Linked DNA regions of Drosophila melanogaster. The protein of the gene in region 4 interacts with the protein of the main gene of each other region in a biochemical or structural test. Each region holds a gene or a part of one and is shown on either strand. Other genes may lie near its edges. The genes, in order: E(z), esc, Sfmbt and His3:CG31613.

What was found.
Region 1: of the proteins of His3:CG31613 (region 4) and E(z), one has a biochemical effect on the other in vitro, tested with the Drosophila melanogaster proteins (3 studies listed by BioGRID).
Region 2: of the proteins of His3:CG31613 (region 4) and esc, one has a biochemical effect on the other in vitro, tested with the Drosophila melanogaster proteins (2 studies listed by BioGRID, with this or other methods).
Region 3: the proteins of His3:CG31613 (region 4) and Sfmbt form a complex in vitro, tested with the Drosophila melanogaster proteins (2 studies listed by BioGRID).

Annotation. Positions count from the first base shown.
Region 1 is NT_037436.4:10,634,075-10,639,763, forward strand, and holds E(z) (enhancer of zeste), read right to left. Parts: upstream 3,806-5,689; 5' UTR 3,688-3,805; coding exon 3,566-3,687; intron 3,504-3,565; coding exon 2,772-3,503; intron 2,711-2,771; coding exon 2,550-2,710; intron 2,367-2,549; coding exon 2,352-2,366; intron 2,020-2,351; coding exon 1,922-2,019; intron 1,864-1,921; coding exon 1,674-1,863; intron 1,612-1,673; coding exon 1,042-1,611; intron 974-1,041; coding exon 564-973; 3' UTR 501-563; downstream 1-500. Other genes in the region: CG34001 (uncharacterized protein), read left to right, coding at 1-124, 193-498; Cnep1r2 (CTD nuclear envelope phosphatase 1 regulatory subunit 2), read left to right, coding at 4,230-4,251, 4,349-4,420, 4,480-4,626, 5,141-5,295. UniProt on the Drosophila melanogaster protein: Polycomb group (PcG) protein. Catalytic subunit of the Esc/E(z) complex, which methylates 'Lys-9' and 'Lys-27' of histone H3, leading to transcriptional repression of the affected target gene.
Region 2 is NT_033779.5:11,826,704-11,831,249, forward strand, and holds esc (extra sexcombs), read right to left. Parts: upstream 2,703-4,546; 5' UTR 2,533-2,702; coding exon 2,473-2,532; intron 2,401-2,472; coding exon 2,267-2,400; intron 2,205-2,266; coding exon 2,033-2,204; intron 1,669-2,032; coding exon 757-1,668; 3' UTR 501-756; downstream 1-500. Other genes in the region: Pde1c (phosphodiesterase 1c), read right to left, coding at 3,574-4,128. UniProt on the Drosophila melanogaster protein: Polycomb group (PcG) protein.
Region 3 is NT_033779.5:13,170,778-13,178,423, reverse strand, and holds the start of Sfmbt (Scm-related gene containing four mbt domains), read left to right. Parts: upstream 1-1,667; 5' UTR 1,668-1,755; coding exon of another isoform or gene 1,756-1,887; exon of another isoform or gene 1,888-1,890; intron 1,891-1,954; exon of another isoform or gene 1,955-2,001; intron 2,002-2,041; exon of another isoform or gene 2,042-2,201; intron 2,202-2,471; 5' UTR 2,472-2,610; coding exon 2,611-2,757; intron 2,758-3,058; exon of another isoform or gene 3,059-3,147; coding exon 3,148-3,985; exon of another isoform or gene 3,986-4,197; intron 4,198-4,482; coding exon 4,483-5,781; intron 5,782-5,858; coding exon 5,859-6,108; intron 6,109-6,173; coding exon 6,174-6,685; intron 6,686-6,758; coding exon 6,759-7,111; intron 7,112-7,639; coding exon 7,640-7,646. Other genes in the region: CG5439 (uncharacterized protein), read right to left, coding at 1-1,173; CG43925 (uncharacterized protein), read right to left, coding at 1,536-1,667, 1,756-1,887. UniProt on the Drosophila melanogaster protein: Polycomb group (PcG) protein that binds to the Polycomb response elements (PREs) found in the regulatory regions of many genes.
Region 4 is NT_033779.5:21,423,252-21,426,281, reverse strand, and holds His3:CG31613 (histone H3), read right to left. Parts: upstream 1,090-3,030; 5' UTR 1,033-1,089; coding exon 622-1,032; 3' UTR 561-621; downstream 1-560. Other genes in the region: His4:CG31611 (histone H4), read left to right, coding at 1,333-1,644; His2A:CG31618 (histone H2A), read right to left, coding at 2,119-2,493; His2B:CG17949 (histone H2B), read left to right, coding at 2,720-3,030.

The DNA.
Region 1 (5,689 bases), on a different chromosome or scaffold from region 4:
ACAAAACGCTGGCAAAGGCGATTGGGCCATTATAGAGCTGCAAGGCGACCTGGAGGTGCGGAGCAACCAGGATATGCACGGCCAGTTTATTGGCGATCTCTACTACAATAAATATGGCCAACCTGTGAGTTGTAATTGTAAAGTTATAATTTAACCAGCTCTTAAACAATCTGATTTTACTTATATCATAAGATTCTCATCATTGGACATCACATTCTTCAGGGACGTGAACAAAAGTTGGATAAACCATTTGCGGTGCTGGAAAAGTCCAAGACCAATGAGGGAGAACGACTCCTAGAAACGAGCATGGCCTCGCAGGATGTCAGTATGCTGAACGCCACCACGGGAGCGGAGCGCACAGTGCTGGATCATACGATCGCCCAGGAGCACAAGAGTCGCCAAAGAACGGAGTACACTGTGCGCGCCGTTTGCACCAAAAAATTAATCTTCAAATCGCGACCCAAACCAATTATAGCCAATGTAGCTAAATCCGTTTAGGTGTGTTTTCAAAAATATAGTTTTATTCAATTTGTATGATACGATTTTCATAAGTAGACTCGTTATCAAACAATTTCCATTTCACGCTCTATGCCCACGAACTTCAGCTGCTCCGTGGGTCCGTATCTGTAGTCAAAGAATAGCTCTTCGCCGGGCTGAATGGCCCGCTTGGCAAAGATGCCGATGCGATGATCGCCGGTGACCATCATAACCTTGGCATAGCAATTGGGATTAATGGAATGATTGGCAAACCGAATCTTGTTGCCCTTCCGAGTGGCATCCACAACAAAATCGTTGTTCAGATTGAAAAGAAATGAGCACATGTACTTGTCGTAAACCTTGCCACGGCGATCGGCTTCATCTTGGGATATGATCTCGCCACAATATTCCGAAATGAACTCATTCTTTTGCGCACCCTCCTTAAGAAAGATGCCCCAGCCGGCGATGTCAGACGGAGCCATGAGCAGGTGCTTGTCTGCAATTGAAGATTAAATTAGTTGACAGTGGCGAAGACCAATATGGATATATAAGAAGGTTTCTTACGCAGTCCTCGCTGCACGCACACGTTCTTGCACGTGATCTTGGTCAGCTTAAACTGATCCGCTCCGCAGGCCTGGCACAGATCGGGATCACACTCGCGCACTGCCAGATAGCAAGGACACTGCTTCGTATTGCACTGAGCCTTGCAGCGACAGCCGGGGAAACGATTCTGGCAATCGCTGCTGCAGTTGCAGAACTTTTCGCAGAAGTTTTGTGTCTGAATGCAGGAGCAGTTCATGTCGCATGGATGTCCGGGATGGTCGCAGGGCGTGTAGTTGTACACGTGATTCGAGGATGAGTCCTTCTTTAGCTGAATCTTACGACAGTGCAGCGACCACAGACGTTGCTTCTTCTTCTTCTTGCGCGGAGGTGTGAAGTCCTGTCGCAAATCCTCGAAGCTAAACTCAGCATCCTCCTTCTGGGCAAACTCGTACACCTGACGACAGGTCTTGGTCAGCATGTTGTGCGCAATCGCGCAGTAGTTCTTTAAATACACTTTATGCAAGACCCGATAAAGTGCTTGGTCAGCGCCTGTCCAAACGCACTGCGTACTGGTGATGTTCATCATGCCAGCTGGTGAGAAAAAGTGAAATATTTAACACATGGTCCAACCAATCTGCTAACTTAAAACTGACCCATAATGGAGTTGATCTCAGCCACAGCGGCGCTATTTACAGTCAGGCCATTATCCTTGCTATTCTCATGATTAAAGTCCTTGTTGCTAAACTGACTGTTGCTGTCATTACTGTCCTCGGAGCTGGCCTCATTGCAGGAATCAATGGGAGGTGTCTTGCTATCGGCCGCCAGCTTTTCCTTCATGCCATCCTGCAGCATATAACAGAATTAAAATACCATTTAAATTTATAAAGTGCATCCAACTTACGATCAACATGTAGCAGGAGTTGCTGCAAGGTTCGGCGAAAGGCTTCAGTTCCGGATAGCGACGCTTCTGGAGATTGGGACCCGCATGTCCTTGCAAGCCTGTGAACACAGAGCAGCGGGATTAGAATAACTCAATCGGGCGAAAATCACTTGATGTCTATGAAACGCTTTTGGATTAGCATGAGGGTAATCGGTTACATTTGAAGAGATAGAGAGAAATGGTCCAGCCAAAGCCACACGAAAATGAGGTGAGCAACACCGAGGGGTCAATTTAGACACATGACAAACATAGCCAAATTATCCACCGATATGGGTTATTATAAAAATTATATTCATAGACAGCGAGATGAGGATGCGGAGGCGTTGACGGGCAAACGGCATGAGAGTGTGTGCGTGTGGTTATCGAAACAACAACTACAACAACGACTCACCCTGCACATGGTGACCTAAATTGCAATTAATTCAATACATTTTGGAATTTCGTTTTTTTTTTTGGGGGTTTAAGAAATGGTACAGATTTGTGTTTTTTGGTAAGATAATATTGTTTCCAAACAAGAAAAGAAAAGCAAAAACAAAACGTAAAGTCATTAGGTAACCCAGCTGGCAGCAGTTCCCATCGTTTAACTTACGGTGCAGGAAGCAGTCGTATTTGAAGCAACGACGACAGAAGAGCGTGTGAAAGGAGTGCATAGTCCTTTCCCGGGAAACGCTCTCGGCCTTGATGCCGTCAATGTTGGGTGTGCACTCCTGTGGGCGCTCCGGATCCTGGTGCTCCGTAAGCTCAATGTACCTAGCAAAAAGAAAAAGCCGTAAGAAGGGATATTTACTAACCTGGTTATCAAATTACATACTTTTCTTTGAGCTCTTGCGCGGTGCCCTTGTCTGGAAAGTTAGCGCTGATGGCCTGAAAAATAATGGGCGCAGGGAAGGGCAGCTTGTCCTTGACTTCTTCCACATCGGGCTTAACATCCGCATCTTCAGTCTCCAGCGGTTCTTCAGTTTCCTTCTTCTCAACTTCAGTCAGATCCCCTTTGCTGTCGGTTTTCTCAAGCTTCATGGGAGATTCACCATCTGCGTCAACATCAACTACCCCATCATCTTCGCCCTGTTTTGATTTCGCCAACGTCTCTGTTTTAATGGCAGTCGCTGTACCCGGAGCGGCTTCCTCCAGTTCCTTGCTGTAGGAGCGCATAAGGGCGTGCACCAGTTCTACGAAGATGGCATCGTCCATGAACGAGGGATCCTTGTCGCCGTGAACCTTGCCATCGTAGTTTTTGATCAGTTCCTCTATGAACTTGCCATCCTTATCGAGGACCTCGTCGCCCATATAGGGTATATTGTGCAGCACCGTCTCATCCTCCACCATGAAGTTCTGCTGTGTTGGTGCCCACGTGTACATGGTGGGTATGGGAGTGACCGCGTTGATCACGCAAATGGGCACCTTTTGCGGACCGCTGGGAATGCCATTGTAGCTAGTCACCTCCGCCCGCTTCACACAGTCCACATGCGGCGGATCGTAGGGTTTAGCCTGCCAAACCTTCGACTCGCAGTACAGATCCTGTACATTGTGGTTGTGCTCGTCCCTGGAGGATATGTGTACATAGATTTTCGATTCCCAGACATCCACCATCTCTCCCGCGCTTACCAGTTTCTTATCCACGCCTCCTTGATCTCGTCGGCACGTTTGTAGCGCTTCTGCTGCCTGATTTTGATGTACTCCGACTTGACACGCCTCTTCCACTCGGGCGGCACTTTAGTGCTATTCATAATGCCTTCGAGGGACTTTATATTTGTTGATTTTACGTATAAAAAACACTGATTTTGCTACAAATATTATCCGCCTTTTTTTGCAACAGCTGCCGCAGTGTGACCGTTGTACTGCAGGAAGAATAACTTAGACACATGGGTGTATGTAGAAGACCATTTAGTGGGTACTTAATTTGTCCGGTAAGCCATTAATTATATTTATATTATAATAAAAACTATGATATTTTTGTATTAAAATAATATAAATATAATATAAATAATACATAAATATAATACTCACTTTAAATTAGCTATACAACCATTTTGTACTGAAAGTAGGAAATAAACAAAGAGCCCCTCTTTGGTACGACCCTGCTTTGTGTAGTGTTGAGAAACGCAGCCCGTTATCAGTGCTCTCAAACGTGGAATGTCATCAAAAACATAAAAAGAGGAAAAGAAAGCTATGAGAACCTCATCAAATAATAATAATAAATACAATAATATTTAAACTGGACAAATTTAATCGCATTAAGACGGCCACGAGCTTTGAGGAAATAGCTGCAATGGAACCGTCAGCCTGCGAAGGTATGTAACTCGCCGGCAAAAGAGAGCCGGAAAACGCGCAAGCCACTGACTATGTTTACCAACCATAACTGGGTTTGTTTTCCTCGCTCCTCTGCAGATCTCAAGGCCTTCGAGCGGCGCCTCACCGAAGTGGTTTCATCGTACCGTCCCTCGACGTTCCGCTGGCGCAGTAAGTTGCATCCGTATAATGAGAACACCAGGGAGCATTACAATCCGTAATAACCATAGAGCTTCTTGCAGTTGTCCTTTCCGCCATGTCCATGTGCACCGCCATCAGCGCCTGGTACTGGCTACGCGATCCGCGCACCACCGTTGTACCGCTAACGGAGTCCCTCTGGATTCATCCCGTCTTCACAGTCGCCACCCTAACATTGGGTAAGAATCGGTGTAGCCACTACTGTACTCCGTACATAGGTCACTTTTTGTAGTCAACAGCGGCGGTCATTGAACCTCGGATATTCTACCTAGTATGGAGAATAATTTTAATACCAAGCCATACCATGCTATTTAAATCCATATAATCATATCGTAGAGCAAGTCGATACTATATATCAGGTTATCTCAGGCTACTCGGTAAAAAGAAAGGATCAAAATCAAGAATTTCAAATTTTTAGGTATTTCTACTGTTATTTTGAGTAGAATACACTCCTTATATCTATCACATCTATGCAAACTACATAAGTACATTCTCCAAATTTTAGCAACATTAGGTTGCCTTTAATCTTGTCAAAGCTCTTCGCTTTATCAAATTCGATTTGTATATATCAATATTGATAGTCCAACTGATTAAGAATTTTCAGCTAACAAACACTTCCATTTAATCTAATCTAATTTTTTTGGTTTGAAACTGACTTACTGATTTTGTAAACCTTATCATTTCTCTCCGCAGTCGTCCTGTTCATCCTGGGCATACAGAAACTAGTCATAGCTCCGCAAATAATTACATCGAGAACGCGAATGGTACTGGGAGACTTTAATATGAGCTGTGACGACACGGGGAAGCTGATACTCAAGCCGCGGCAAAGTAACAACAACAGTACATGAGCACCGGCCAGCTTCCAGGACGTTTATTTAGTTAATTGCTAGTTCCCTTACCCTTTTCTTTTTTCCTACATGTTGATTCGGACACCCTCGCTTTGTAAGCGTATTTTTAAAGTACCTCTTATTTCTCCCCTACACATTTTGTTTAATTATAGAAGCTCCTTTGTACAAAAAAACAAAAAGAAAAGAAATCAATTGTTAAGCTTTATGTGTTTCGTTAATGGCGTTACCCATCGCTGCCAAATACACCAAGCGACATTTCAATATCAATTCATCTATAACTAACGAGTTGCTCGCAAATTGTGCAACGACAAGTGTTTTTGTATATTTGGAGCGGTTTTTATCGAGCCGCATTCTGTATAAATAGGGAGTCTGTGCAGTTCCAAGGCATCAGAAG
Region 2 (4,546 bases), 9.6 Mb from region 4:
GCTATTTTCATAAACTTCCATTAGATACAACCCCCCAAAAAAGAAAAAAACCCATGATGGAAATGGCCTGCACTTTCATCAAAACGAGAGAGAAGCGTTCGATAAAAATCCAGCTAGGGCATGGCAAATCATTGTGGGACTCTGCTCGCTTAATCAGTCTGCTGGGAGCTGTTATGGCTGGTCGGGATCGCTGTCCGCCTGGCCTGGCTTGGTTTCCCACTCATCCCGGTTCGCACGCCCGTTGGCAGTTTCAATTTCGTCGCGCTTATTCGCCGCATTTCCAGCAGATTGGAGCTGGATGGCGTTGCAGCAATGCATATAAATGACGTAGCAATTGAAAGCCATTTGTTATGCGCAGCTTTGCTTTGTTTCGCAATTAGAATTGCCAACTGGGGACACTCAGTCAGCTTGAAGACGTTTACATGGCTTAAAGAGCAGCAGTTTGGATTCTGGTTAAGCAGAAAATACATCTTCAATGTTGCTTATATACATGTGAAATTACAATGTACTCACTTTATTTACAATAAATAAAGGCAGCAGAGTAAGCAACAACTATTCGTTCTTACATCTAAAAAGCAACCGGCTTAACATATTTAAATCTCATCCAACTATTAATTGGATTTACTTGAAATAATTTGGAACAGCACAGGAGCGTAATTCTATATCTTAATGCTAACCAACTAGGAACTAATTGAGGGAAATGTTGTAAGTTTTGGCCACGTGAGATTTGGTTTGTGGTTGCGCCCAGCTGCGCCATCAGATGGAAGTTGTTTGTCTGCGGTTCCATCGCCACACGGTGGCGTCATCGCACACGTAGACCAGTACGCTGGCATCGCGAGAGAAGGCTATCTGGCGCACAGTGGCCACGCTACGCGAATTGTGCAGGGTGGTCATGTGTGCGCCCTCGGGATCGCTGGGATCCAGCTCCCACACATACACCTTGCCCTGCTGATTGCCCAGGGCAATCACCTTCTGCCACGGATTGAAGCCGAATCTCACGAACCAGATCTCGCACTCGTCGTACTCGAATTCCGCAATTATCGTGCAGGAGGAGTCGCTCGGCTTCACCTGCTCGAAGCTCTGATGTAGTTGTCCCGGTTTCCAGCAGACAATGGCATTTTCGCAGGACTTGGAGAGCACAAAGTTGCCGAACCACTGCACACAGTCCACATAGTTCCTGTGTATATCCCGCGTTGAAAAATCGGGGAAGTGCTTGGTCACCGTGGGGAAAGGCAGCGTTGACTTCTCCTGGCTGAAAGTGTTCGACAGTTCGATCTTGTGATGGAACTCGGGCGTATTCAGACACCACAGCTTCAGCGAGTGATCCATGCCGCTCGACACAATGCGATCTCCACGCATATTAAAGTCGATGGACAGCACCTCATCGCGATGTCCCTCCACTCCGCCCAGGATGGCAATGCACACATGGCTCTGGATGTTCCACAATCTTATCGCGTGATCCTTGCTGCCCGAAAGCAAAAGCTGTAGCTTGTGCGGATGGAACTTCAGCTCGTTAATGGCCTGTCCATGGCCAATGTAGTTGCCCACCGCCTCATTCTGCTCGACATCAATAACCCGGATGACTCCGCGGTATCCAGCAGCGGCCAGGAGAGGTGAAGAGGTCTTAAGGTCGTACGACCAGGCGCAGGTGTAAAATACTTCATCGGGCTGGGAAGGGAATTCAAGATTTGTTGATGTATTTCGAGTTTGTACAATTACATTTGCGACCATATTCTCAGTTACTCTCGGCTAAATTAACAATATAAGCTTTAATTTGAAAACTTGACTGTTATGAAAAACCAAACTTAATACAAGAAATGATAAATGTTTGGATATTGTGAAACCATGCTGAAAGCCTGTAACGATTGTTCTTACTTTAAAACAATTAACAAAAGCAATGATTTAATAGAAACTTTGACTGGATCCCACTTTTTCTACAGCTTTGAATGCGATGTCTAATGTATGAAGCCCCTAACTTTAGCCAACTGATCAATAGGGTCTTGAAAGTGTATTCTGTATCCTGGCGACTCACATCCGGATCTGCATAGCAGTGGAGCAGCTGCATCCCGCCCTGTCGAGGGCACTCGTAGACGGTCACCCGGTTGCTGCCCGCCGTAGCGAAGACCTGTGGCTCATCCTTGCCCAGCAGCGTGTTGAAGGCTACGCCGAAGATGTTGGCTCCGTGGTTCTCCTTCACGTGGGTGCTTCATGGTAATCATTTGTAGGTTCAGTATCAGTGGCCAGCTGAGAAAGTGCATATTCTTACTCGTATTTGTAGGCGGCGCGACTTTTTGGCTTCGATTTGGTGCTCCGGCGACCGCGGCGCTTGCTGCGCGTGCTGGATGACGGGGACTTGCTGCGCGAGGTGGTGCTGTTGGTGGTATAGCTGGCCGACTCATCCTGCAGCCGGCACATGGCCCAAAAGATCCATTAATTCTCGGTTCGCACAGCCATTTGTCATTCGCTACTCACGCCGCATGATTCCTCCGACTCCTCGGGCTCGTTGCCGTTTTTCACTTTATCACTGCTCATTTCGAACGCGCGGCACGTTTGTACGGTTAAATGAAACCCAAATTAGGCCGCGACTTCAATGAACTATTCGATAATGCTTTTTTTAAATGTTTAAATAACGAGGCGAATGAAAATGTTTTTTTTTGGCGGCAATGGTGTGACCCCAGTCACGGATCGCGTAAAATACCCAGGCATTGCAGGCAGTACGGTCTTACCATTGCGCAGCGTGGCCACCTGGTCACGATCGGCTGGCCAGTGTTGGTAAACATTAAACGGTATTTAACACACTTAGGCGGGAAAGTTAAAAAAAGTTCAAAAACGACAAAACACATGCGCAAGCTAGTTTTTTAATATAGAAAACAAACAAATGTAGGACAATCAACATGCCATGGATTCATGTGCGGTATTCAAACTTTGTACATGTATTCACAAAATTACACTGGTCGACAAGACTAGGAGAGTTGCTGCTTGCGAGTGGCGTCAAAAGTGGAAGATATAGTTTCTCAGAAATGCAAATGTATCATACAAATACTTTAAGCAGTTTTGAATACATTTAAAGTATATCTTCCAGTTCTCACTCCTTCAAGTGCTTACTACGTATGAATGTAAGTTTGATTTAATAGTTGCACGGAGTATTTAAACGTAGTAAGCAATTTTTTGTCCAAACGCGGCAACGAAACATTTACAATCCCGCTGAGCGCGGCTGGGGAACGAAACAAGTGTCCTTTTTTCTTTTTTTTTTTTTGATTAGTCTAGGATAAAATAGTTATTTACAACAGAAGCGAGCAAAAGATTTGGGGTAGGGGACAGAGGCTAGACAGAAGATTACAGCAGTGGAAATCGCAGACAGAGGTCAGCAGACAGATGGATAGATTGGATAAAGGAGAGATAGAGAGACAGAGTTCATAGAGTTATGTGTGTATATATAGAAAGTAGTTCATTCTGGAGCTGTGTGGTTGTTGGTTGGTTAACGCAAACGTGAAACGATAAAGGCAAATCGAACGAACTGAAGAGGCGTAACGGATAAACGTTAGTCTAGCATAGAAATCAAATTTCAAGTACGTTTTGTTCGTCGACATGGACCTGGCCCAGGTGGGTGTCCTTAGGCGGCGTTGCCGATGCACCGCCGCTGGGTTACTGCAACTGCCACTGCTGCCGGCACTTCCCGCTTGACTCTCGGCCGCCTTGGCACTTGGCTCCGCGGTTGCGCTGGAGGAGGTGGTGGTTTGGGATGTCAATGTGGATGTGCTGGCGGGCGGCGGTGGTCCCTTGTCGCCGGGATCCTTCGAAGGACTTTCTTCCATCACCGATTCCCTTACGGTTTCCAGGGCGGGTTGAAGCTTAGGGGCAGGTTGTGCGATAGTTTCGCTCGAGGTGTTGGATGGTGGACCCGTTGGGCCACTGTGGGTCTGCGGCGCCTGGGAAACGCCCTTGGTGCGACTCTCTATGCTGTCCTGGTTGTCAGCGCCTGGTGTGACACCTGCACCTGCTCCCCCAGGCGACGCCTCCTGCAGGCTGCAACTCCTATTGGAGTTGTTGTTGTCCTGCTGCTGGTCATCGCGTCCGTGGCTATGGCGACTGCAGTTCAGGTTCTTGCAATTCCCATTGCAGCCCTCCCTGCAGAAGTAAATGGCCGGCATACGTTGGGCGCCAGTTTCGAGTGCCAAGGCGGTCAAGTTTTTCGGCGCCCAGCAGTTGGCAGTGAGTAACAGCGAAAATGCAAATGGGCAATTTTTGGGCAACGAGACACCACGTTGATTTGACGTTGCATAGCATTCGGATTGTTTGTGTGTTTTGTGCAAAAGTTTTCATTTAGTTTTCATGTTTTTTTTTTTTTTTGGTTTTAGGTAAATAGTTTTGGCAATAGAAAGAAAGAATATATAAATAGAACATCAGTTGAGAGATTGTGATAAAGCTTTTGGGTTTAGTAGGGGCAGTGGATTGGACTTTTCCCACGAAGATTGCCTTACTCTAAATAAAATATCTGTCAATCATGTTCTAAAGTTGAACCTTCAAGAATTTCACTGTTCACATT
Region 3 (7,646 bases), 8.3 Mb from region 4:
CTCTTCAAACTGTTTGGTTAGCCTTCGGATAAGCAGGCGATTTTGAAGACTAAGCTCCGCCACACGGGTTTCCAGCAGAGCGCATCTTTCGTTTAGCTGGTTGACATGCTCTTCCAGCGCAGCTTGCTGTTGGCTGTTAGCCAAGCAATTGGCAGAGGAGGAGGACTTGCTCCACTGCGAGGAGGTGTCGCTTCGGTCTTCATAGAGCTCTGACTCTCCAACATGCGCGCCAATGTCTGGCAAGGGCGTCTTGAGAAACTCCAGCTCGGGTTCAATGGGGTCGAAGGGACCCAAGTTGACTTCTTCCTGTGGCTGGGCTAACTCCTGTTCGATGGATTCCTTGGAGAGTATTTGCTGAACCTCCACCGACTCGATGGGCTTTAGAGCACCAAGTAAATCCTCTGTGGAGCTAACGCACTCAATGGGTCGTTCCACCGCAATACCAGGTCTTTTTTGGCGTCCCACCACCGGCACTGGACTGGTGGTGAATATAATTGGTTCCTCTTTGACGGCAACACTTGGCGTCGATCTCCTGGGTGCATTAAGCTCAGTGGTGTCCACATTGAGGGCGAACAGTACATCACTGAGGGAGTCTACGATCTCTGGCAGCTTCTTGGCCGCCTCATCGTTGAGTAGCAGGGACCAAGGTGTGTAAAATCGATGCAGCTGCTCCTCGTCGCTCAGCCAGGTGAGCACATGGCTATGCAGTCGCTTCTCGTTCAGTGTGGCGCGTATGAAGGCACGTCCTCTGCCCACATTCGTCCAGATCTGCTTAAGGTCCATATACCTCTGACGTTCGTGGGGCGTCAAATGCGTCTGGCAGAATTCCCAGAAAGTGGCGTCATTGTTGTTGCTGCCTCCGCCCGCATTTCCGGACACCATCTCCTGCATGTTCTGGATGAAGCTGGCGGCGCTGAAGGAGGAAGTGCCTGCCGATTGCCTAAGTCCGTAGGACATTAGTTCCTCGAGGGATTCGCACAGTTCCTGAACAGATTCATCCCGCTCAGTGGCAAGTTCTTTGCCACTGAACTTCTGTGAGATTTTATGCGCACTTTCCTGTAGACGTCGAAAGATGTCCTCGCGCCGTTGGCCAAAGGTGCTGCCCGCCAGTTGGCTGCGCATGCTCCGGAAGCCTGCCTCTGTGGGCATCGAGCTGGATGCATTTTCTGGCATTATTTGTGGCTATTATTCAACTAATTATATTTTCTACTCATTTTTCTCACTCCGTTGTGTGCCAACACTGGTTGCTTGACAACAAAACAAGCCAAACAGTGTTGATAAGCGTTGGAATGGGCGCATTCAGATCACCGATTAATGATTTTAAGTGACTGTGACTCAGCATTAGGTGATTTATTAAAATAAAAAAATTGTTTGTAAATAATTTATGGTACCTAAAAAACTTATAAAACTATAGGTTGCGTTATCAAAACAAACCAATTATAACTGAAAGCGCTTAATTTCTCCAATTCATATTGGTAAGGTACAACGATTTCGATTAAAATTGTGTTTTTACTGAGATAAGCAGTATTGTACACTTATCGATAACAATCACTCTGCATTATTTCTCGCTGAACGCGACCACTTGTGCATCCCTGGTGATTTAGCGGGCAAAATAATGCCAAAACGCTGTTGTGCGACTGTGTAGCCCTGGCGTATAATTGCCATCCCTGCTCGCGCAAATGCGAAAGAAGTTAGCACACAAAAATCTGTTAAAAACTATTGTTAAACGATTGAAGATCCAATAATATGTCATACCGCAAGTGCTAGCAACTGGGGAAACCCAATCCGAACGCGTCCAACGTGCAAAAGTGTAAGTTTGCATCCAGGGGCAGCAACGTCGTAAATTTTCTTTTCTGTTCGCGTTGGCTGTCTGCGCAAACGCTTCATTGACTTTTCGAGATTGAACCCATGAAATGTAACCAAAAATTCTGATAAATCGGATATATGCTCGAACCTTATTCAGTTGTGTGAAACTCCACGCGGCGGCTGAAATTCCGACCGTTACGACAGGCTTCAATCGCATTTCCGTACGCTTCCCTCACCGCGCAGCATCTGCGTGCAGAAAAGGCAAAAGTAGAATGAAAAAAAAAGGAAAACGGGAACAGAAGGAGGCAAACAAAACGAACAACGAGGAACACTGGGATTCGGTCAGGATTTACAGCCCATATGGCCGGAACATTCGCCGGTTCCAGGAGCTATTCGTAACCAAACAAACTGGGAGCATTCTATGTTGCATTGTCCATAAAATTGCAGCAAGATTAGCAATCAGCGTCAAATAGATACGGAGATTTCTAAATATGAACATAATATTCTTTTAAAAATTCGAATTAGCAGGCAGCTTAAAAAGTACTAAGTAAATAACTACGTAGTTTTTAGATAGGAATAAATAGGGATTTACTTTTTAAATTCGCCCCATCTTGACCAATTTTTATTATTTCAAAACACTAAACTATTTCAATGTTTGTTTTCAGTCAATGCGAGTTCGAAAAACAAAGGAACGCGACACGCAGCAGTAGAAAGCAATACTTTTTGAAGAGAACCCAGAAAGCTGTCCCATAAATGCTTTTGCCATACTGACCAATCCGGAATCGATAGCACCATTGGCTTAAAATGAACCCATCCGAGCTGCGCATGATGTGGATGAGTAGTCAGTACAACTCGGAGCGCATTACACTGGAGGATGCGGCCACTCTGCTGGGTCATCCCACTGTTGGACTCTCTGTCATGGAGGACCTCTCCGCCCATCAGCCAACTTTGGTGAGTGCAGACGGTTTGATTCAGAAGCCAATCTCTCAATTCGAAGACTAATAAATATAAAATGCTTTCAAATGAGCATCGCGAAAACGAGATACGTGTCTATCACTAAGGCACCCCATTATATTTGATAGTCCTCGGAGTCGAAAACAAACCCAAATTCTTTAGGTTTCAACGTGTACTCCTTGGGGATTGGCCAAATTTCCAAACTATCTTTTTTGTCTGTCTCAGTTATAAACAATTGGAATTTGTTTACTTATTTCTTCTACTTTCTTTTCTTTGATTTATATATTGGTTACAATTTAAATCTCGACACAAAAACACACATAACCAATGGTCGATCCTCAACCCGAACCACCTCCAATCTCCAAAACCCACAATGCTCAAAAAAAGGACATGAATCCGATGATGAGCCTAATGGGGGGAGATTTCACTGGTCAAGCGGCGGCGACTGCTGCGGCACTGGGTGTACAGCCGGGCACCCTGATTGCCACCAACTCGAACAACCTGTACGGATTTGCCCACATGGGCGGCCTGCAGCAGCAACTGCTCCAGCAGTCGGCGGCGGCGGCAGTCTTCCAGAACTATGCGGAGGCAATGGATAACGATGTGGAGAACGGCATGGTTGGCATGGCCATGGAGGCGGTCGTGGACGATGACGACCAAGTGTACGGTCAGAGGGACAATAACTTTGATGATAATGGATCCGAGTTGGAGCCCAAGCAAGAGATTATCAACATCGACGACTTTGTGATGATGAACGAGGACAATAATTCGTACGATGGCACCGACTTTATGACCTCCTCCGATAAGGACATTTCGCAGTCCTCCTCCTCCTGCATGGCACAGATGCCCGGAAGCTTGGGCGTCCCTGGAGTCGAGCACGATCTTTTGGTTCCACTGCCCGATGGCCTGCTGCACCACAAGCTGCTGGGCACAACTCTGGTCCCTGCGATGGGTACGCTAAATGGCAATGCCTTTGGCAACATAATGGTCAGCACTGAAAACACATCCAGCAAGCAAATGCAGCGCACCTATAGTACGGCCAAGGGAGCCAATTCCACCGCAACCACCGCCACCTGCAGTGCCTCCACGTCCTCCGCATTGCGATCACAGCGCAAGACGCGCAAGATCGAGCCCGTTAACAGGCCAGGACTGGTGCTGAAGACACCCATCGCCTACAGGGGCAACATTGACCCTTCGGTGATCCCCATACAGAAAGATGGCATGGGTAAGGTTGCTGTGCACTAGAGTGGGTCGATTCTTAATTAGAACATTGCGGGCAGAAAAGTAAACGATAAGTAACGATAAGTGGTAGAGATCTTAGTTGAGATCATATATTATTAAACATCATCAGTTTGATGTACATTGAACTTATCTAAAATTCCAAAAGCCTTTGCCTTGTATTTACAATCTTTCAAGGCTTGCTCTGTCTACTAGCTTATGTATTTGATAAAGTAAATAGTTATTTCTTTCTAAGTAATTAGTAATGATTCGTTTATTTAAACAATGAAAACCACCTGTAAATCTGCAATCGATCCACTCTACACGATATTAATTTTCAAGCTTTTTATTTTAAATCCTACTCTTAGTTTCACTTATCTTTATGGTTTTGGGTTTGTTTTGCAAGAATTTGGGTTTGTATACCATGATAGCATTTAAATTAAATACGAAATTAACGTTTACATTAATATGCACTTAAACGATTCGTTTTTTCTTCTTCTACAGCTGTCTGTAAACGTTGTGGCGCCATTGGAGTGAAGCACACATTCTACACAAAATCGCGACGTTTTTGCAGCATGGCCTGTGCCCGAGGCGAACTATATTCGTTGGTACTTAACACTAAGATGGAGGGAGACCAGGCAACCACTAGTTCCCCGGATCCTGGAGCGGGTTCGGAGTCAGCCGATTTGCCTGGCGATCAGCAACAGTCGCAGTCGGATATTGAGCTCGATCTGCATGCGGCGCACATTAAGAATGCGAATTATCGTTTTCGCATTACGGATCAATCAAAGATTACCCAGTTGAATAGCTTCGGCGAACCCATGTCAATGGGCGGCGACGCAGCTGCCAATAATGTACAAATGGCAGCAGATGAAACAATTGCTGCGTTAAACGGCGGAGCAGTGGGCGATGCCACTGCTCCGGGCAGCACCGAGGAGGGTGCATCCACACCCAATTCTTATCTGAGCGCAGCACCCACGCCCAAGGCCTTGCGACTTTTTAAGGACATCTACCCACAGGATGACCTGCCGCAAATACCCAAATACGAGCGCCTTCCCGTACCGTGTCCGCAAATGGAGAAGATAATCAGCATTCGGCGGCGCATGTATGATCCCACACACTCCTACGACTGGTTGCCCCGCCTTAGCAAGGAGAACTTCAATGCGGCACCCGTCACTTGTTTTCCTCATGCACCCGGTTGCGAGGTATGGGACAATTTGGGCGTGGGCATGAAGGTTGAAGTGGAAAATACGGATTGCGATAGCATCGAAGTGATCCAACCGGGTCAGACTCCTACCTCGTTTTGGGTGGCCACCATCCTGGAAATCAAAGGCTATAAGGCCTTAATGAGCTACGAGGGTTTCGATACGGACTCGCACGACTTCTGGGTGAACCTCTGCAATGCCGAGGTGCATTCGGTGGGTTGGTGCGCCACTCGGGGCAAGCCATTAATTCCGCCCCGCACCATCGAGCACAAGTACAAGGACTGGAAGGACTTTCTGGTGGGACGTTTATCCGGAGCCCGCACCCTTCCCTCCAACTTTTACAACAAAATCAACGACAGCCTCCAGTCGCGCTTCCGCCTTGGCCTGAATCTCGAGTGCGTGGACAAGGATCGCATTTCGCAGGTGCGCCTGGCCACCGTCACCAAAATCGTGGGAAAGCGCCTCTTCCTGCGCTACTTCGATTCCGACGACGGCTTTTGGTGTCACGAGGACTCGCCCATCATCCATCCAGTTGGCTGGGCAACCACAGTAGGCCATAATCTGGCTGCACCGCAGGACTATCTGGAGCGCATGTTAGGTAATAATATTTACTTTTTCTGCATACATGTTTTTACATTACCATTTTAACATTTTACATACCATTCCTACTTCCAGCTGGTCGCGAAGCCATGATTGAGGTTCATGAGGACGATGCCACAATCGAGTTGTTTAAGATGAACTTCACCTTCGACGAATACTACAGTGACGGCAAAACCAATAGCTTTGTGGAGGGCATGAAGCTGGAAGCGGTGGATCCACTCAACCTTTCATCCATATGCCCGGCTACAGTAATGGCGGTTCTTAAGTTCGGATACATGATGATACGCATTGATTCCTACCAACCGGATGCCTCAGGGTCGGATTGGTGAGCTTTAAAAGCTTCAATTTAAGTCGGCAAATCTAAATAGCTTCTGTTGTATTTTTTTTTAGGTTCTGTTACCATGAAAAGAGTCCGTGTATCTTTCCGGCTGGATTCTGTTCCGTCAACAACATTTCGGTTACCCCACCGAACGGCTACGACTCTCGTACATTCACCTGGGAGGGTTACCTCCGCGACACGGGAGCCGTAGCCGCTGGCCAGCATCTATTTCATCGGATTATTCCCGATCATGGATTTGAGGTGGGTATGAGTCTGGAGTGTGCAGATCTCATGGATCCCCGACTCGTTTGCGTGGCCACGGTGGCGCGAGTGGTTGGTCGACTACTCAAGGTTCACTTTGACGGATGGACGGATGAGTACGACCAGTGGTTGGATTGCGAATCAGCCGATATATATCCAGTCGGATGGTGTGTACTGGTCAACCATAAGCTAGAGGGCCCACCGAGAGTAGCACATCAGCAGGCCCCGAAACCGGCACCAAAGCCCAAAATACAGCGAAAGCGAAAGCCCAAAAAGGGAGCAGCGGGAGGCAAAACTCCAACCGATAATAATACTCAGTCGGGTAAGTTTTTTTTTTCTAATCAAAGTCATTCGAATTCCTGTATATCATCATGCATCTTCAAATGTTATTCCAGTCAAATCGCGTACAATTGCGCTCAAGACCACGCCGCACTTACCCAAGCTGAGCATCAAGCTGGAGCTAAAGCCGGAGCATCACAATGCTGCCTTTTACGAGAACAATCAGCCCGAGGAGGAAGGCGACGAGGAGGATCCCGATGCGGATGGCGATGGAGACGGAAGCACCAGCCACATCTCCGAGCAGTCAACGACACAGTCGTCCAGTGATCTGATCGCTGGATCGGGCAGTGGAAGTGGGTCCGCCTCGCTGGTAACTCTCGCCACGGGCAGTAACAAAACGGTAAAGAAATCTACTACTAAATCTCCTGCGCCACCAACTGTGGGTCGCAAAGCCACTAGCTACATTGCGGTGAGTACTTAGCGGAATAATAGTGCGTAGAGTCATCCATCTAGCCAGCCAGCCTGCTTGCCCGCCTGAAGTTCAGCTCACGCATCTAAACGGGAGGTCCAAAGAGCATAGTGGTTTTTGTTTTAAACATTAATTAAATTTTATTTAGAGGAATTCCCCTTTAATTTATTTGCCTTTTTTTTTCGAAATAGAAGCATCAGCTTATACACCAAAATACTCCATATTAATCCAAGTTTGCCTTGTTTAGCTTAAGTTTTTGTTATTTCATATGAAATAGATTGTCCGACCCAACTTAAACCACTGTGCTAAAGCTCCGTAACACAACTGCATAAATGTATATAACCAAAATCAAATCGTTCATAAAACGCCAATTTGTATATAATTTAATTTACGCACTGTTATTTTTGGTACTTGCAACAGCCCCAATAGCCCCAACACACCGACATCCAATCGTTCCGTCACACACCCAACCAGCAATGCAACATCATACGTTAACTAATTAAGTCCTTATTTTTTACCCCACTATAGAACTCCT
Region 4 (3,030 bases):
GCCAATTTCCGTGCTGAATTTTACATAGGTTTTATTTTTTACAGGCGTTTGAAGGGACAGTGTCAATTGTCCCGTACGACCTCTTCAATAATAACACTTTCTTCAGTTAACACATGGAAAAAATATAAAATAGCTAGTTTTATTTTATTATTTTCTGTTATTTTATAAATATTGCCGTCATCAATGTAATTTCATTAATTTCAAACTGTCTTACACAGAATTCAGATTTTTTTTTAGATGTTTAAGGTTCAGAGTCCCTTGCCCCGCACGACACTTTCACTGCTTTAAAGGATGTTCGCACAAAGAACAAATAAAAATATATATTTTTATATATATTTTATATTTATTAACCTCTTCTTTAATTTAATAAATGTTGAGCTGACAATTAAAATAAGATTATTTTTATTCCTTCTCTGGCAGAATTAGTATTTTTACATATGATTTAAGACCCAGTACCGTTTGCGCCATAAATAATAGAATATGAATTTTGTTCTTATTTTTTTTAAGTTATAAATAGTCGGCAACAGAAAATTTTATCTCATTGAATCTGGTTTGTGGTCCTGAAAAGGACCGATTATAGAGTACGCTAGCGCTTTATCTGCAAGTTAATGCCGTGTCAGCTTAAGCACGCTCGCCGCGAATGCGTCGCGCTAACTGGATGTCTTTGGGCATTATGGTGACACGCTTGGCATGAATGGCACACAAGTTGGTATCTTCGAAGAGACCAACCAGGTAGGCTTCGCTAGCTTCCTGCAGAGCCATAACCGCCGAGCTCTGGAATCGCAAGTCCGTCTTAAAGTCCTGAGCGATTTCACGCACCAGACGCTGGAAAGGCAGCTTGCGGATTAGAAGCTCGGTGCTCTTTTGGTAGCGACGAATTTCACGCAAGGCCACGGTTCCAGGGCGATAGCGGTGGGGCTTCTTCACACCTCCGGTGGCTGGAGCACTCTTGCGAGCGGCCTTAGTAGCCAGTTGTTTGCGTGGCGCCTTTCCACCAGTCGATTTGCGAGCAGTTTGCTTGGTACGAGCCATCTCCGATTTGGGTTTCACTAAAGTTCACGTTCACTACTTCACGTTTGAAAACACAATAAACGATCAGAGCATTTGCTACCTACTTATATAGCAATCGTGGACGGTGAAAGAGAGAGAGAGAGAGAGAGAGAGAAAAACGGAGGCCATTTCATTTGACGAGCGAAAAGCGAACGAACATATCGTTCGTACTCTCTCGGGTTTTTGTCGTTTTACCTATAAATAGGGGCACACAGAAACGTTGAAATTAGTTCTTTAGTGACTTTCGTGCTGTGCGTGTATAATAGTATAGAACAGTGAAAAATGACTGGTCGTGGTAAAGGAGGCAAAGGCTTGGGAAAGGGTGGCGCCAAGCGTCATCGCAAAGTGCTGCGTGATAACATCCAAGGTATCACGAAGCCTGCTATCCGCCGTTTGGCCCGTCGAGGCGGTGTGAAGCGCATATCTGGACTCATATACGAGGAAACGCGTGGCGTTCTGAAGGTTTTCTTGGAGAACGTAATTCGTGATGCCGTGACCTACACGGAACACGCCAAGAGGAAGACAGTTACAGCCATGGATGTTGTGTACGCTCTGAAGAGGCAAGGCCGCACCCTCTACGGATTTGGCGGTTAAAAAGTGTACATCCTGTGTACCCCTATTAAGCAATCGGTCCTTTTCAGGACCACCATTCAGTTTTTAAAAGGAGGAAGATTTTCAAAAAGTATTTAATTTTATTGGTCGGGACTCCCAAAAAATATGTTAAACTAAAAATAAATGTCTGTCGTTCGTACTCTTTTAAATAGAATGTGTATTTCTAACATGGATTTGTACAGACTGTACAAATGGTTTCAGACACCGCATGTACAGCATCACATCGTGGTGTGCGATTGTTTAAAGAAGCAAATTATAGTTTATACCGCATATAGTAGAAAACCCTTACTACATTACCATCTTTACGTTAATAATTCTTTATGATTTACTAATTACAACAAATTGCCAAGCTAAAAAATTTTTCAATTCTTTGGTAATAATTTGGTCGTCCTGAAAAGGACGGTTTGATTGACGATTTTATGTACATGTAGGTTTTTAGCTTAGCCTTTGAAACGTTTAGGCCTTCTTCTCGGTCTTCTTGGGCAACAGAACAGCCTGTATATTAGGCAACACGCCACCTTGTGCAATTGTGACGCCGGAGAGCAGCTTGTTTAACTCCTCGTCGTTGCGGATGGCCAGTTGCAGATGACGCGGAATAATTCTAGTCTTCTTGTTGTCACGAGCAGCATTGCCAGCCAACTCGAGAACCTCAGCGGCCAGATATTCCATTACGGCAGCTAGGTAAACTGGAGCGCCTGCACCAACACGCTCTGCGTAGTTTCCCTTCCGGAGCAAACGGTGAATACGGCCCACAGGGAATTGAAGACCGGCACGGTTTGAGCGGGACTTTGCCTTTCCCTTCACTTTGCCACCTTTTCCACGTCCAGACATTTTGCTTTGCGTTTATTTCACTTAGTTCACTTTACGCACGGAACACGAATGCTCGCCTAACCCAGACAGCGAAATATTTATACTTTTCCGTTTGCCTGCGCATTCAGTTAGGGGTGGGTGACTTAGACCTGAATTGACTGCTCGAAAAAAAGTATAAACGTGAACGCGTTCGGGCCCACATTACGATAAGTGAATTGTGTTTGTGAAAATATAAGTAACGTGAACAATGCCTCCGAAAACTAGTGGAAAGGCAGCCAAGAAGGCTGGCAAGGCTCAGAAGAACATCACCAAGACCGACAAGAAAAAGAAGCGCAAAAGGAAGGAGAGCTATGCCATCTACATTTACAAGGTTCTCAAGCAGGTCCATCCTGACACCGGAATTTCGTCGAAGGCGATGAGCATAATGAACAGCTTTGTAAATGATATTTTCGAGCGAATTGCTGCCGAAGCGTCTCGTCTAGCTCACTACAACAAGCGCTCGACCATCACCAGTCGGGAGATCCAAACGGCTGTTCGCCTGCTTTTGCCTGGAGAGTT